Linked DNA regions of Neodiprion lecontei. The protein of the gene in region 3 purifies or fractionates together with the protein of the main gene of each other region. This does not show direct contact. Links are inferred from orthologs where the notes say so. Each region holds a gene or a part of one and is shown on either strand. Other genes may lie near its edges.

What was found.
Region 1: the proteins of DNA-directed RNA polymerases I, II, and III subunit RPABC1 (region 3) and putative RNA polymerase II subunit B1 CTD phosphatase RPAP2 purify together in Homo sapiens (affinity purification with mass spectrometry; 4 studies listed by BioGRID and IntAct, counting the BioPlex papers as one, with this or other methods). This does not show direct contact. The link is inferred for Neodiprion lecontei from reciprocal best matches to the Homo sapiens genes POLR2E and RPAP2.
Region 2: the proteins of DNA-directed RNA polymerases I, II, and III subunit RPABC1 (region 3) and DNA-directed RNA polymerase III subunit RPC10 purify together in Homo sapiens (affinity purification with mass spectrometry; 5 studies listed by BioGRID and IntAct, counting the BioPlex papers as one, with this or other methods). This does not show direct contact. The link is inferred for Neodiprion lecontei from reciprocal best matches to the Homo sapiens genes POLR2E and POLR3K.
Region 4: the proteins of DNA-directed RNA polymerases I, II, and III subunit RPABC1 (region 3) and DNA-directed RNA polymerase III subunit RPC2 purify together in Homo sapiens (affinity purification with mass spectrometry; 7 studies listed by BioGRID and IntAct, counting the BioPlex papers as one, with this or other methods). This does not show direct contact. The link is inferred for Neodiprion lecontei from reciprocal best matches to the Homo sapiens genes POLR2E and POLR3B.

The regions. Positions count from the first base shown.
Region 1 is NC_060261.1:547,197-552,292, forward strand, and holds putative RNA polymerase II subunit B1 CTD phosphatase RPAP2, read right to left. Parts: upstream 3,128-5,096; 5' UTR 2,987-3,127; exon of another isoform or gene 2,758-2,986; 5' UTR 2,718-2,757; coding exon 2,662-2,717; intron 2,593-2,661; coding exon 2,466-2,592; intron 2,371-2,465; coding exon 1,399-2,370; intron 1,313-1,398; coding exon 1,146-1,312; intron 1,074-1,145; coding exon 897-1,073; intron 803-896; coding exon 631-802; 3' UTR 519-630; downstream 1-518. Other genes in the region: protein GPR107, read left to right, coding at 3,490-3,579, 3,714-3,824, 4,358-4,497, 4,613-4,758.
Region 2 is NC_060260.1:9,405,881-9,408,928, forward strand, and holds DNA-directed RNA polymerase III subunit RPC10, read right to left. Parts: upstream 1,142-3,048; 5' UTR 995-1,141; intron 872-994; 5' UTR 865-871; coding exon 538-864; downstream 1-537. Other genes in the region: yrdC domain-containing protein, mitochondrial, read right to left, coding at 1-291. UniProt on the Homo sapiens protein: Core component of RNA polymerase III (Pol III) which synthesizes small non-coding RNAs using the four ribonucleoside triphosphates as substrates. Can mediate Pol I proofreading of the nascent RNA transcript.
Region 3 is NC_060266.1:3,237,261-3,240,409, reverse strand, and holds DNA-directed RNA polymerases I, II, and III subunit RPABC1, read right to left. Parts: upstream 1,514-3,149; 5' UTR 1,356-1,513; coding exon 1,054-1,355; intron 961-1,053; coding exon 630-960; 3' UTR 506-629; downstream 1-505. Other genes in the region: abscission/NoCut checkpoint regulator, read left to right, coding at 2,024-2,071, 2,305-2,543, 2,650-2,884, 2,983-3,141. UniProt on the Homo sapiens protein: DNA-dependent RNA polymerase catalyzes the transcription of DNA into RNA using the four ribonucleoside triphosphates as substrates.
Region 4 is NC_060260.1:21,914,484-21,919,482, reverse strand, and holds the start of DNA-directed RNA polymerase III subunit RPC2, read right to left. Parts: upstream 3,005-4,999; 5' UTR 2,907-3,004; coding exon 2,829-2,906; intron 2,341-2,828; coding exon 2,186-2,340; intron 1-2,185. UniProt on the Homo sapiens protein: Catalytic core component of RNA polymerase III (Pol III), a DNA-dependent RNA polymerase which synthesizes small non-coding RNAs using the four ribonucleoside triphosphates as substrates.

The DNA.
Region 1 (5,096 bases), on a different chromosome or scaffold from region 3:
CAAGAACCTATCTCGTATCAGGGGCATCATCGGAAGAGGCTTTTACATTGGATGTAAGGACTCTGAGCTCTCTCCCTTCTCTCAAACTCTACTTTGTACCGACTAGTAGCGACTACTCTCATTAACCAACCAGGAACAAGTCTTTGCATTAGATGGTTCTCTCTCTCTAAAAAAAAAAAAAAAAAAAAACTCCGTATATGTAAACTGAGTGGAATAACTGTTGCTAAACAGCTGGAGAGACTTTACATTTATGATTACGCTCTCCATGGGCCATAGAGTTATACCATGGGTACTATAGAAGCTTGTAGCCATTCCTTGGTAAAGTGAAAACGTTACAGCTGGGAGGGATGTCCCGCATCGAACGAGGTTTCATTATCTCTTTCACAGTCATCTTCATCACCAAACTAGCTTCTCCTTGTCCTCACTTTCACAGCATGCCACTTCTCTTCTCTTTTTACTTAAGGTGTTGCGAATTTCCGTGAAATACGGGTTACGTATTGTGAAACACGTGACAAAAATTCACTTTTATTATTTTATTTCGCATGCACGCTTGCGTGGTATCACAGAAACCAGAATCATACATTTTATATCTCTGAAGATCTGTCAGCGTCAGGAGAAATCGAATTATCGTTATTTTTTTGGAAAATTCTTATTGCTAACTAACTGGATGTCTGTTGCCACCGCTACCAGCGTGTCCAAGTCACTAGGCTCCAAATTATAAGACATTAGAATCATAGTTATATACTTTGACGCTCGGTCTGTACCCAATAGAAACCTCAACCTGGGCTCGGAGGTGCTCAACCTGCGATAAATTTAAAGACAAATGCACTGTCTTCTAACAAATTTAATATATGAAATGATAAATACGATTACTCAATAGTTCATCTGCTACTCACAGTCTTATAAAAATAAGGCCAAGAAGGTTCCATTCCGCAGGCTTAGGGATAACATTGCTAGCCGATAACGAAAAGGTGTTTACAAGAGCTTTCACCGTTTTTCCACACCCGTTAGTGCTGATACATCCATCAACAGCAAACTCGCCTCCAGCCAAGGTACGCACCATTTCTGGCAACCTAAAATATTATACAAGCGTTAATGCGAGCTTTAATTTGGAATATCTAATCTCAATGCAGAACCATCATTACACTTTATCAAGTTTCTCCAAAATTATACGTCTCCTGAGTGTTCTAGGCTCACGCTCTCCAAGCATTGGCATGAATGTACTGGAATCATCTTCCTCATTAGCAACTGCGTTACCTGATGGTGGTTTTGTTGCATCTATCAAAGTTTGGCCTTGGTAAAATGCTCGTACCTACGAGAAATAGACTACTAGTAAATTTGAATTGGATAAAGACAATTTGTTGCTGACAAATGACAGTACATCCAATCCTATTATACCTTGACCTCTATTTGGGCACTTGCTTCTTTCAGCACACTGTAATCTGGTAGAGGTTTTAAATCGCGTTTACTATCTTCCTCGTCAGTGTCTTCATCTACTTGGCATGAATCGATTTTTTGGCATAGTTCAACATATTTCTTTTGGAATTTACTGTCCTTTGTATGTTTCGTAATTTCATCTATTTTTTGCTGCTTCAACCACACATCTCCCGACAACAGAGCCAAGGAATCCAAAGTAAGCCACTCTTGTAAATAATGTTTGATACGTTCAACAAACCAGCTTGAATCCACCTTACTTTTCCTGACATCTTGTTTGCCATGTACTTTGCGCGTTTTATCTTCTTTTGCATTTACTTTGGAAATATTGTTTATGCTTGATCGAACATCTTGTTCAACCGCCAAAGTATCACATTTATTACTTTGGCGTGCAACTGGTTCTGCGGGTTTGTGAAGATTGGCTATTTCTTTAGCACTTACATCCCCTTCAACGATTTCGGTGCCTGATTTATTTATGGAATTATCAGGTACATTATTTATAGTATTTTCAATCGCATTATTACTCTCTGTTGATGGTAATTTGTCAGACACAATAGCTTTATCAGTTTTTTGTATTTCGCATGAATCAACAGAGACGTTTTCTCGTCCCAGGTAAACTTCATCGCCTGGAGTACTTTTTTTAATTAATCCAGTGGGAGGTAGCAGCTGGAAGCAAGGCTTTTCTTTCGGATTTCTCAGCCACAGTGGGCTAGTGAGCATTTGTTCAAGAATGTAATTTGTTGCTCCATAACAGTTATTGCTGCAGAAATTTTTTCTGCGACTTACATCATAAACCTTATTATTGCGAGTCGATATGTGATATTTTTGATTTATATTCAATTTCAATGGATTGTCGCACAGAGCATAACCACACCGTCTCAATATAGCTCTTTCTTCAACTACGTCGTCCATGTGACATCGATTGATATGCTCCAGCTGTAGAAGAAAATATTTCATAGTTTAAACGGTGTATACAATACAAATTAACAACGAAAATGGTATTTCATTAATATTGCCGAATCTTGAGCAACCATTCGTCTAACATTTTCCAAAAGCCAAGTTTGGTCGACTGCATCATCTATCAACCGTTCTACAATTGCTAAAGCTCTCGCATCACACTGCCGTTTCTTAGTCAGAGCCAGCTGCAGTTGTTCCTTGCTGGAAATAAAACGAAACGTAAATGTTTTACTTACTACCCAGTAAACTTGCAAAATATCAATTTCCTACCTCATTTTCATTTTTGTTCTGCTCCCATCGTTACGTTTCCTCGACGTTGATGTCATCGTTGTGTTTCAATGTTTCAATGATTTATACCTGTAATATCTGGGACAACAAGGGCGAATTAGCGTGAAAAAGAATTATATTTAGGTTACGCTAGGTGAGATTAGGGTCGGTTTTATCGATGACAAGGTTGTACATGCAATTATAGTTTGATAAGATTCCACCAACAGCCTGACAATTGATTCAGGAATATTTGCGATACATTATTAACAGATACTACATTTGGATGCTACAGAGAAATCTCGAGGAAATTTGAATCGCTCCTTCTAACCTGTCAAACTGACAGCTCGGTTCTTGGTATAAGACAACCATACAAGTTGTTAAAAATGAGTGTGGTGCACACGGAGCATTAAAGGTGGTGGTGCAGTCATGGAGTCTAGATACAAGGAGAACGATCTTAACGTATAGAAGAAACGGCCGAAAATGTGGAGAAATAATTTCTGCACTGGAGGCGCTGCCGTTGATAATATCAGGTTTATTTTTTTAAATTTAATAAGAGAATGCCGTGATCACGTGATTCAAGGAGCAAAATAAACAAAAAAATAAAAAAATAAATAAATAAACAAATCAAACACACTGACGCCACCCATGTCGAGCGAGTGTAACTAGAAGTTCCATCCGCATTCGGCATCTTATACCATTTTCCAAATCCCTGCCGAACCAGCTTCTGCTGCTTCTGCTCGCCGTGCGAACTTGCGGGGCGAGGTGTTTCGTGTGTCAAGTGGCAATGTTCCCCGATACGTGAAGTAACGTTACAATATAAATATTTGAAAAATGTATTCAAAATCCGTGATTGTTTCGTGCATAGTTGTGCTCACCTTAGCTTCGCTAACTCAGGCGAGGATTCACAAGCTTGAGATAAGGGTGCGTTGACGAATTATATTTTTTTTCAGGAATCTTTATACGCGTACTAGACACGCGCGTGTGTTGTACGTACAGTAGTACCGTCTCATCGGTGAAACATTCCAAAGGAAAATAATCAATTTCCTTTATTGCAGAACGACGTCAGAGCTTACATCGCTCTCAGCACATTCGGATTTTACGAAGGAGGCACTTTGCGCGTAAACTTGACTAATTTTAAGGTGGAACAGGGCGCCGAGGATGCAGTGGTAGGTTTGACGTTTAACCCTCGATTTACCTGGCATACGTACACCTGGTGTACGTATACACATACATACGTACATTCACCCAGCAATATTCATTCCATCACCGACGCTTCACCTTTTCCGTATAACTGTATGGTGAGATGAGCTGTCGTTAACATTCAGAGGAAAATGAGTATTTTTTTATACTTTGACATATACTAGTAAATCGTTTCTTCTTCCCAACTTTTATCGAACCTGTTCCATCAGGTTGCAATATCACGTAGATGTGAACGCAGGAAACTTATCATTTATTCCCAACATTGATAATGTTTTTACATCTTATGAATTTGGTATCTAATGTGGGAGATGTAAGGTTTTTCCAAGATTATACGCTTTGCATTCCGACAAATGTGATTGCACAAGCATGTTTGCTTGTAACATTATGAATACGAGTATTGTACTCAGTGCCCGATCATCTGATAAATTGTATTACGTGCCTATTTATTACAGGACAATACTAAATGCAACTGCCATTTATAACACTATAACTATTTCAGTTCGGATTCAGCTTGGAACGAACTCTCAGCGATGTTAGTAATTCGTACACAGAAAATCAACGAGAAAAATGTCCATTACTAGATGAAACAGCCCAGCTGAATGAGGCTGTTTATTTTAAAATGGATTTGAGGCATTCAATGTAAGTATAATTAACAAGGAAGGAAAAATATACAGTGCAGTCCAAACTTCGTTAAATCAGTATTAACGTGGGAAATTCATAGTTTTAATTTTTGCTCCATAACAAATATTTACAGAATGAACGTAACCTGCAAGAAAGACTTGAATCTGATATCCATTCACCCGAGTGAAGATGTGGTACAGGTTCGATTAAAGAGAAACGCAGAACGATTACAGGATACGGCCTCTTCTCCAAGAATAGACCATGCCATGTCAGATTTTGGTAAGTCTCATTTCAATTGTTCATGTAATGTGGTTCGTGTCGCAGATGTGGACGTTTTTACTTTATTCCACAAGTTCTGTGATATTGGATTAGAGTAACAACTAACATCTTGTATCATCGAAAGCATTTTCAGTAGTGATGAAATATAATTGAAAAAAAGAGAGAACTTTTAAGTATTACTACAACACTACTGGCAGAAGTGCCACCAATGATTTATTCCTCAAGAATTTGTAGCTAAAATTAAATTACATATGAGTATGGTAGTAGCTGCGTGAGCCTACAGGTGAAAAAGTCATACCGGACACAAAACTGATACATTCGACCATGTACACTACGAA
Region 2 (3,048 bases), on a different chromosome or scaffold from region 3:
ACCGACACAAATTGCCAGCGGTTTACAAGGATCTCGTTGCTTAATTTCATACAACTTTTTAACAGATTCATTACTTTGAGCCAATCCTGCCAAGCCATAGACGGTATCCGTGGGCAACGCTATGACGTGTTTATCTTGAAGCAAGCGAACGGCCATAGCCACATTCTTTGATCCATAAGCAAACCCGATACCTGAAATACCGGGGTGTAGATTTTTTAGCTGCGTCTCGAGCGACCTCAATGTTTGTTTCACTGGACCCATGGTTTTTTTCCTTACTTCATCAGAACTCATCGTTGGTCTGCTGCGAAATAATTTCAACATTCTTCTTGATTATGACAGTAAATTGATCGACGAGTCCTGAAAATTTTCAGTCTTATCTCTACGTGAATAGTTGTATAAGAATCTCTGGTAAAATAACCATTAAAATGTTCTGTACTCAAATTCTCATTAAAATAATGATGTACACAGATTTGAATTGTAGAAGTGATTGCTCAATATTTATCGCCTCCAAAAACCAATGAAATTAAAGACGTACAATTAATCTCGCCAATTGTGACTACACTGTGGATTGCAGCATCTGTAAAATGTGGTCATTGGCTCGTCGGCAGATCTTGTCTGTATCTGCATGAAGTAGGCCCGAGAATGCGAGCATTTAGGGCAGCGTTCATCTGTCGCATCGACGTTTTCCCACGCAGCGCTGCCACCTAAAACGTCGTCTACTTCCTTGAGCTTTGGATAAGTCCGACTTGTTATTCTTTGCGATATATTAAAAATGTAAGGGCAGGTATTGCACGCAAATCGGTAATTCGCCACTCCCGATTCGACATGTAAAATATTTCCACAGGTTGGACAAAATAACAGCATATCACATCTGAAAAATGGGAATTTAGGAAATAAGAAGTTCGCATACAGGGAGGTTAGGACTGTAGAAATTCGATGAATTATTTGTCCACAAAGGCAAAATGATGTAACAATGAATTATGTTTAAACTTACCTATTTAAATTGTATACCACACGCGAAATTATTCACTTTTTTTGCATGTTATTACTGGATTACTAACAGACACGTGATAAACGACAGAACGAAAATTCTTTGAGTGATGCGACGATGCGACGGCGCCGTGTGTATAATGGACGTGGGGGAAATCCACGAGGTGATCGACTTAACTCGTCTTCAAGACCGTCAGGAATCAAGTCCACGCGCAAAAGGCGCGGTTAAATTCGAAAGTTATTAGGTAACATAAAATATTGGCTATCAAGATGAAAAACAATTTTCATGGATATGTGCGCTGTCAGAATACGTGAAAAACGACGCACAAAGGGCGCGATTTGTGTACATAATAATTGAGAATGGTTATTTGTGTAGCTGTGAAATAAATCACTCGAAACAATGCCATCATTGTTCAAACTTATATTTCACGGATTCTTGACAGTATCATGTACGAAAATGTTTGAGGGGTCCTCCAATAATACGTAACGCTCGAATGGAGGCTGGATCCTCAAAAATAACGTCATGCAATATTAGAATGGCCTATCAGTAAGCCTAATTCGTCAAAGCCATATCAACCATTCAAATGTCCAAGAGATCAAGTAAAAACTTATTATGGCAAAATATACATTGATGGGATTAAAAAAATCTTAGAAATAGTGAACTTTCAAATAAGTTTCTCTCGAATAATTTTTTATCGTGACAGACAATTTACAGACAACTTGTATGCATGTTATTTACGAATTAGACAACCTGTCGGACATTCGTAAAATTATAGTTGGCATACAGTCAACGGCTATCAACTTCAAATGTGCATGTTTTGTCTCTGTTAAGGGGAGAATACGGTGAAATTTTGATAATATCAAGTTTTTGATTTTTGAAACAGATAAACAAAAGGTGATCGAAAATTCCTTCCAGCAGAATTTAGATTATGGTAGTATGTGTCCAGAGAAAAATTTTTAATCACCTGCGATGAAAGTGTATGCGCAAGGAACTTTTGGGAGTGTTACGCTGGAAATTTTCTGCCAAAAGTTCCTTGCACATAGACTTTCATCGCAGGAGATTAAAAAATTTTTTCTGCACACATGCTACCGTAATCTAAATTTTGTTAGGTGGAATTTTCGATCACATTTTTTTGAGCTGTTTTAAAAATCTAAAACACCATATTATCAAAATTTTACCACAGTCCCCCCTTAAATTAGTGGACTTGGTTTTTGACCAGCGATTACTCAAATACAAGTCGCCTATGCTCTACTCGAGTAATCATATTTATCGTGTTCTTCAGGTTTTTATTTCAGGTCAAACCTTGAACAAAGATGATTATACTTACTGATTGAATACCAAGATTCGCGTAGTCAAGTACCGAATTTGCATTGGCTTTCAAATCGCAGATGTGAATTAAATACACTGTGGTTCAAATGAATAAGCTTCATCCGTGGTTCAAAAATAACGTGTAAATTCATACACCTACTACAGAATGACCTGACGCGATTCTACTTGAGAGATGTACATATATACATACATGCATGCATACACACATACATACATACGTACGTACATACATACGTACATACATCCATAAACAAGTGCGAGACTTACCCATTGCCAATCGCCTACACCATGTCAGCCCTCATTGCTCAACTCCACATTTACGACCATACCAGGTTTTCCAGAGATTCGAATCCACAGTTAATTCTCGCAGTTTTTTCACTTTCACTATTTCACTGTTTATAACGTGTCAGAGGCTTGATTGCAATTGTTTCGAACGCTTCAACAAGTCTGGTTTACTATCACTTACACGTTAGATTGCGAAAAACGTAACAGCAAATTCGAACAGTCGCACGAATAAATTTGTGAAAAAAAAGTTGACACTGAATATAGTCACGAACCGATTACACGGAGCACGAAACGAATGAAATGATATTATACTATTGAAAACCAATTTCAGCTCGTAAGATTAGATCACTGCACTGCGTTGATTCTAACGGCTTAACTTATTTTCGATCGTGAGTATGAAAAAATAAAACAAGCAACGACTACCAAACAACGCAGTCGTTTGT
Region 3 (3,149 bases):
CGTAATAGCATCGTCTTTGATCGATTACTTTCTTATTTCTGAGATAAACAAACTGCGTTTCGAGGTTAGAATTGTTTATTGAATGACAACTTCGGTTTGAAAATCAGTTTTTGACCTACTGCGTATTGTTTCTTCACAATTCTGGGTACAGTACGAATGTAAAATGTTTGTTTCATTTACTCTTTGTTAAATGTCAATATTTTTCGACTCTTAAATCTATCGAGTTTAATATTTAGGTAACCGTATTTGAGGTTAAGTTGAGATGAAGCTGTTCAGTACCTAAAGTCCGTATTTTAACTAAGCGACATGGATATTGAGTCCTGCTATTGGCTCAATTTTTACGATATGGCACGATGGGAGTGGTTGCTGATTTTGAGCCAATGATGTCGCTCCAATTTGCATGTAGCTGCAGTGAAAAGAAACCCTAATGTTTCATGGAAATATAATACATGAAATCCTAATTTTCTCAACTAAAGTAGAATAATTCACAAAAACAAATTAAGCATTTTCGTTTCATAGAAATTTTTATTCGGATAAGAATATTTGTTTTCTTAACATTAACTTGAACATGATAAAACTTAAAATATCGTGTAGGGGAAGTATAGAATAAAATTGTGGATTTTCTTCCGTCAACAGACAAGCCTGTAGGATATATATCGCCCGGCAGTTTCAGATGGTCTGATAATTTTGACGACCTGTCCACGCTTTAGGCCAAAGTAACGGGCAACTGGGTCGCCGGCTTGTATGCGCATGAGCATATTCTCCTTGAGCTTGTATCTTGAGAGCAATTCTTGCTTTTCTTCAGGTGTCATAACAACATGCTCGGGAACCAGTTCGTGCTCAGTTATGTTTATCAGTAATTCAGACTCCAGAAATTGTTCTAGTATGTACTTTGGTGCCATGTCGACTAGCGACTGTTTAGCTGAAGGTGTCATTCCCTGCTGAACGACGATAGTTGCTCTGAAAGACATGAAGATGACATGCAATTAAATGATACAAAGCAGGCCATAAGATACATATGCTTTTTGTTCCATCAATCCGTATTCCCATTACCTGTGAATTTTTTCTTCTTGCATGCGCTGGCAGTATGTCTTGATTGTTTTTATGCCGATCTTGGGTTCGTCTGGAAAGAACACGAACAGCTGATCGGTCGGATCGTCGTTGTGGGCGACAAGTACGATAAGATCACTTCTTGCAGGTCTTTTCTCACTTGGTTTGTCCCCGAACTGTTCTTTGAATTGTTCCAGGGTCTGATCGAGCTCGTCCTGCGTTACGAGATAACCTCTGTCGTGGCATAATTGCATCACGGTCTTTCTTATCCTCCACAATTTGTACGTCTCAGCCTCGTCGTCCATTGAAAATTAATTTCTGCTTAGATTGGTACTTTGAACGATGATTTTCTGCCTATTTTTATCAATCTTCTGCAGTATTAGTCGCGTTTTTGTGGTTAATCAAACGTCAAACAGTCCTTGGTGCACTGAACGCGTGGTTCGTGATTCGAGAAATGCGATATATCGATGTTCACTTCTCGCAGAAATGTGCCAACGGTCTATATCGATAACCACAACTATCGATCAATTTTGAATTGCCGTATTTTGCATCGATGAACGTTTTAAGTAATGAAAAATAAGCGAAAATAAGGAATTAAAATCAATCGAACAAAGCACCGTATTATTACACGACTTATACATCGCAGGGTTATAATAATTCACTCTGAAATTCAGTAGTCAATTAGCGGTGTGGATTGTAAGAACGTTCCATTTTTTGAATTTAATTTGAATCCTGTCGATATACTATCGATAATCGGATATGCGTCGAAACTCGAAAGCGCTGCAGAGTTGTCCGTTAGCTGCAAGATGGACGATGATCTTCGAGAGAGATCACAAATGATGAGAATTTGCGCATTGAGGTGCGGCAACGGGAAATAATTTTAAACGGTATCTGGGCACACCAGTTTTTCACATTTGACTCAAGTTTTCGAGTCTTCTGCTCACGTTCAACTGGCACGAAGAGGATTGATGAAATGTCATGCAACGCGTGTCAAACAAAATTCACCTTCTTTACTCGAGAGGTAATTATAAAAATTCGTACTATCAATTCCACTCTTGCATATCGACCGAGTGATTCATACTTTGATTATACAATTACGCAATATTTGTTTAGAGTTATTTCGTTCTCTTCTTTTTTTACCCCCAAATTCCTTATTCTATTGTTATTGTTTATTAGCATGCACAGCAACAAGTTAGAAAAATTTGACACAAAATTTGCCATATTCATATCAATACTTTTCAATGTTTCTTCCAGCACGGTTGTCCAAGTTGCCATTTTTCCTATTGCGCCAAGTGTCTCAGGTACAAATTTGACCTGCCAGATATTGGCAGCACAAAAATATGCGGCAAGTGCTATTATCGGTTGAAAGACGGGGTGGAGAACAAGGCAGAGGAGAAGGTTCAGTCTGAAAATTTAAAACCTCAACTCTCAACACCGTCTGAGGGACAACCGTTGTCCGTCGAACAAGTTGCTCCAATAGATATTACTCAGAAGTACGCAAGTGGAGATGAAGAGATGGAATAACTTATTTCAGTGTCATTTGTTCAATTACTACATCTTCAATGATAAACATTCATTAATCTTTCCAAAACTGCACAGATTAAATTCGCTTGAAAATCCGTCCAAACCACCGATTGTTTTGTACAAAAAGGAGATTGGACGATGGGATCGCCTGAAGTCTGGACTAGATCCAGCGGATCAGAATATGGTTGATCGACTTAGGAAATTGAAAGATGAGGACAAACCTGTGCCTCAAACTAGCTTGGAGGAGATTAGAAGAAGGCTTGCTCTGCTCAAGGATCAAGACCCTAATAATCCTGTTCCTCAAACTAATGTGAGCTGAAATTAAATACATTGCAATTGTATATTTGTATGCTAGTTCAACTAGCTCATTGACTTTTGTTGCTCCCAAATTTGCCACTTCTCTTCAAGATCCATTCAGTGGATACGAGGTCGGATGAACAAAAGACTGCAGATTTGATAAATGAGTATTTGGAGGAACTTAAGCTGTCTTCGGATGTAAATTCGGATGCACAGATCGAGGACAGGCTTGCCAGATTGAGAGGAATAGATCCTGCGCAAATTCGCAAGGTCAGTAT
Region 4 (4,999 bases), on a different chromosome or scaffold from region 3:
ATATTAAGCACATAAAGATTTCCATCTTATCGGCATTAAAAAAATAACAATTACAATGAAATAACAATTACAACGAGAGAAATGCATTTGAAATTAAATAATAATATAAATTTATGGCACATGTAATACATATAGCCAGAAATCTAGACGTAAAAAAGGTGTTTTTTTTTATATTAGCAAAAAAAAACAACAAACAAATCAGTATTTTTAACTGCTGGCACTTGGGTATTAGCATTGAGGAGTAAAATCTGAGGCCTATGCGACCTAGAAGCGGCTCGGAAAGGACAGAACAATCAAAATTGGCTAAATATTGTTATGCCAATGTACAGTCACAAAATTCTATGATTAAAGCTAATCAACACTTACCTTGTAATTTGCGATTTGTTTCTTTGCTTTTTTTTTGTCATACAATTTCTTTTGTTGACACTCTGTTGTTTGATACTCTTCGATTCACTGTATAGGTCCGGACTGAAATTAAGTAATGCTCTCGAAGCAAACTGCGATGTGGCACCGTGCCGTATGCCGAGTGAGTTTATGCATGTTCATTCTCGCTCGAGTGTTGTCGATTGACAATCATACAATGTATGAAATGTACCAAGATATAATATTTCTTGACCAAAAATATTCGCTTGATAAAATTCTAATATACCTTCACATAAATACTTTTTCTCATATTTATGTTCATTCCGTACACTGCATGTAGATTGCCATTGAGTTAATATATTAGGTGTATAAATTAATTCTCGGCCTTTTTTCAACAATTTTGACATTTATTTATAAAAAAATGAATACAGATCTAATCTTCAAAATAATCGCCGTCACTTTGCACGCATTTTTTCCATTTATCGGGCAATTGTCGGATCCCGGCTCGAAAGAAAGATGGTGGTTTTGACTGGATGAAGTCGTCAATGCTCTGACGGACTTCCTCAGGAGATTGAAACTGGGTATCCACCAGGTGATGTTGTAGCGCCCGAAAAAGGTAATAGTCAGAAGGTGCAAGGTCTGGAGAATACGCCGCATGAGGGAGAATTTCCCAGCCCAACGTGAAGGTAACTTTCAGGGTTTCTTTTGCTGTGTATGGCCGCACGTTGTCCTGCAGCAAAATCACTTGCCTTGGTCCACTACCGCTGAAGGGTTTTTTTTCCTCGATAGCATCGCTCAATTTCATCAGTTGCACCTGATAACGCTTAGCAGTAATGGTTTCCCCTGGTTTGATTGTCTCATAATACATTACACCTTTGAAATCCCACCAATTACACAACAACAATTTTGGCCCGTGGATGTTTGGTTTTGCAGTGCTCGTTGTCGGCTCCCCCGAATAAACCCACGACTTTCGTCTCTTAGGATTATCGTACAATATCCACTTTTCATCCCCAGCCACAATTTTATGTAAAAAGTCTTTTTGTTTGAATCTGGTCAGCAGGCTCATTGGAATTTCACAGCGTCGACTTTTGTTTGCTGGGGTAAGATCATGGGGCACCCAACGCTCTTCCTTTTGTATCCTCTCGAGTTTTCGAGCAAGCTCCATTTGCGTTTGGTAAGGATTTTCGTTGAGTAGGTTCTCCAACTCCTCGTCCTCAACCTTTTATGGCTTTTCAGGATGATCTTCATCTTGGAGATCAAAATTTCCATCCCGAAACTTTGAAACCATGTTTTACATGTGCTATAAGATACAGCACTCTCTCCCAAGGCCGAACAAATCATTTCTTGTGATTTCTTGTAAGTTGGAAGACGAAAAGAAGGCAGTGCCTCAAGTGCTGCTTGTCGAACGACATCTTTGTTTACTATGTTTTTTGAGGTTAGATTAATCGGACCACAATCGGACTAAGTGGTTTGATAGCTCATAGATGGCGCCTCAAAACGCCCTATATAACGGAAAAATTTTTCGATTCAAATAGGTGTAAAATCAATTTAATCTAGGGGCCGAGAATTAATTTATACACCTAGTATAATATTTCGTATATATGATTTTCATGTGAAATGACTCGAGTAAGCACTTTCATTATTAGACCTAAGTCAAAATTTTATGCATGTTCAATTTGATGAAAAAATTCCATATTGCTATTTGAAATTCCCATATATTTCTCACATTTTCAAGGGCATTTTCAAATTCCCGGTTTTCCAGGAAGTCGGCGTCGCTAGACATCCTGTATTATACACGATTTTGATAAGTCATACTACTTACTTGACGTAGAACAAGGAATCAGCATCACTTAATACTTTCTCATTTGCCTTGACGATTTTTTTTATCTCAACATTAATGAAATAATTGAACGAATCAATGTGTTGCTTAACGAGGCCTTTGCCTTTGAGGAATGCAGGGACGAGCTTCCACTTATCCTACAACATCAAACAAGTTATATTGACATAATAAGTAACAGGCAAAGTCTGGCTTTTTAAGGATTGCACTAGAGTTCTAAGTGATGAATAACTGATTTCTTGGTTAAGGATTTTCATTTCTTGCGACTAGTGCGAATTTCACCCCATATTTTCCTAAGCAGATACATTCAAGATTTATAAAAACTTTCAATTTTTTTGGCACATATTTGAAAATGTTTAATATAAAGTTCTAGAAATATGGTAAATTTGTTGAAATTTCAGAACAAAATATACATAATCGAGTCATTAATAACAGTGTTTGACCGTAAGTTGCCTCTGCCTGGAATTCGGAGATTGTTGAGTAATAAAATCTTGAAAATAACCCGATTAAAATCGTTTATTTATACCCGCCCGGTATGCGTAGTGCATTTGTAGTTTTGCATTATTAGGCGAGGTAGGATTACATCAAATCAAGTTATAACCTACAAATATTTGAGATGGTACTTTACCTCGATATGTTTGGCTACTTTTCTGAATTTTTCAGCTCTTTTGAGACTGTTGTAATCATTCGATTTCATTTCACCCATTTTATCGCTGTTCTATCGTTATAATTTTACGTGTTAATATAAAGACATCGCAAACCAAAGCACAACCGAAAATTGGACACAATCTACCAAGGACCACGCTTTGGCCATACTAACGACAACCGTTCATTACCCGGCCGCCCGGCCCCAGAAGTGTATGGACGGTAGAGATAAGGAGAACCGTCTCTGTGTACGAAAAAGCTTGCGTCGAAAGATGTCAACTGAAGATGGCGTTACGGTAGCAGAAGGGTATATTTTGAAGAAAGCAACAAAAGATATTTGAGTTGGATAGAGAAGTAAACAAGGAAAGAAAGATTTCCGCTTTGTTATGGTACATTTTTCAAAATAAACATTAATAAAGAAAGCAACATTTTTAAGCGCTCAATGATTCGATAAATATTAAATGGAAGATGATATTGAAATGGAGAAACGTTGACATAAATTTTGTTTTTTGATAAACTAATTTCCAAAAATAAAAGAAGTTCATGTGCAAAATTTGAGAGAACTACATGTGCAAATTTTACATACTATTGGTCGGAAAAAAGACAGAGACTGAGGCGCATCATTCTTTTTATTTTTCATTTTTCGTGCACTTGGACAACTTTTCACTATGCAAACTTTACCTATTATTGACCAAACTTTAAAAAATTTTATAACAGTACACACTACAAAATCACTAAAAAGTATGATCAACAATTCACAAAAATTAAATCACTCTCCACGTTATCTCACAGCAGTTTTATGGGTTATATTCACTAAATTATTTTGGGCTACGTAAATAGTTGAGGTTTTGTATACTGTGATTTCATTAACTACATTAGTCACCAAAAATATTGAATTGTTCAACTCAGCTCACTTCACTCCGATTACAACTGCTAAATTCATGTCATATCCTTTAGCTGCGCTAGCGCTATTTTGGTGGGTTCTTGAACTGTTACTTGCAGCTTACAGCTGGACACTTTTTCAACTTGTCTCCCACATAAGTCGATTCTCCTTACTTCTACCCTCCAGACCTAGAAGAGATGCAAATAGAAGCGTCATTGACCACCGAACTCTAATATAACTGGAAGGCTCGCTGCAATGGTAAGGGATAGGACTGGCTTTCAGCCGAGTGAGAGGTATCAAATAAGACCACTCTCTCACTCGCTCCGTGTACAGCATTCCAAAAAAAAGCTTGTCCTCTTATTTTCACAACCTACATACACATTCTATTTGAATCTCTTTACGAATTCTTGCATTATCTTATGTTTGGGAAAAGTTTACCAATTTTTTTTTACATAAGATATTGATATATTGGATAGAGATTTCGTAATAATTAAATTAGGAAAAATTAAAGCAGGGACTGGTTTCTTTCAAAATACTTACAGACTTCCTCAAGTCGAAATACTTGCACAAAGAATGTAACATTACCACCAGGTATAAAGAATTGATTACATTTAGTCACACAGCAACCTCGCACCAGTTTTTAACATAATAATTTTTCAAACTTAACAATAAAATAAAATCCTTGGTTGTTCACAATGACATAATAGAGTTCAGTATGGTTTAGTAGGACTAGGATATCGCGGTGGTGTGACGTCGGAAAGGTACCTAGTGGAAATCTCCAGATGTAAGACACCGGAAACATTCACACACAGCTACAGCTAGACTCACATCAGTAGTTTGGGTCACCAATTACCGATTAATTATTGAAATACACCGGGCAACGGGCATTCTGTCGCTCTAATCGAACGAACCGAAGGAGGAGTAATTGTTGGATAAAAGATTTAATTAATTGGCTTACCTTTTTGAGAATATTCTGGATGTGATGACTTGCAGCGTAGATTGGTGAGAGGATTTAGCGGAATAACTGACTCTAATGTATTTGGATACTTTGATTAACTTTGATTTATTTTATAAGTTCAATATTTAAAGTCACAAAAACGGAGTTACACAGTGTAAGATCTTAAACTTAATATGACACAATGGAGCTGAAAGCTCGCTGGACTTTTGGGCAGAGTAACGTTGTATGAAAAGTTTAAATGCAAAAGGCCAACGGATTTTACCGCGAGACTGTACCGGAACAAGATGACGAATCTGAAGGTAGAAATCAAGAG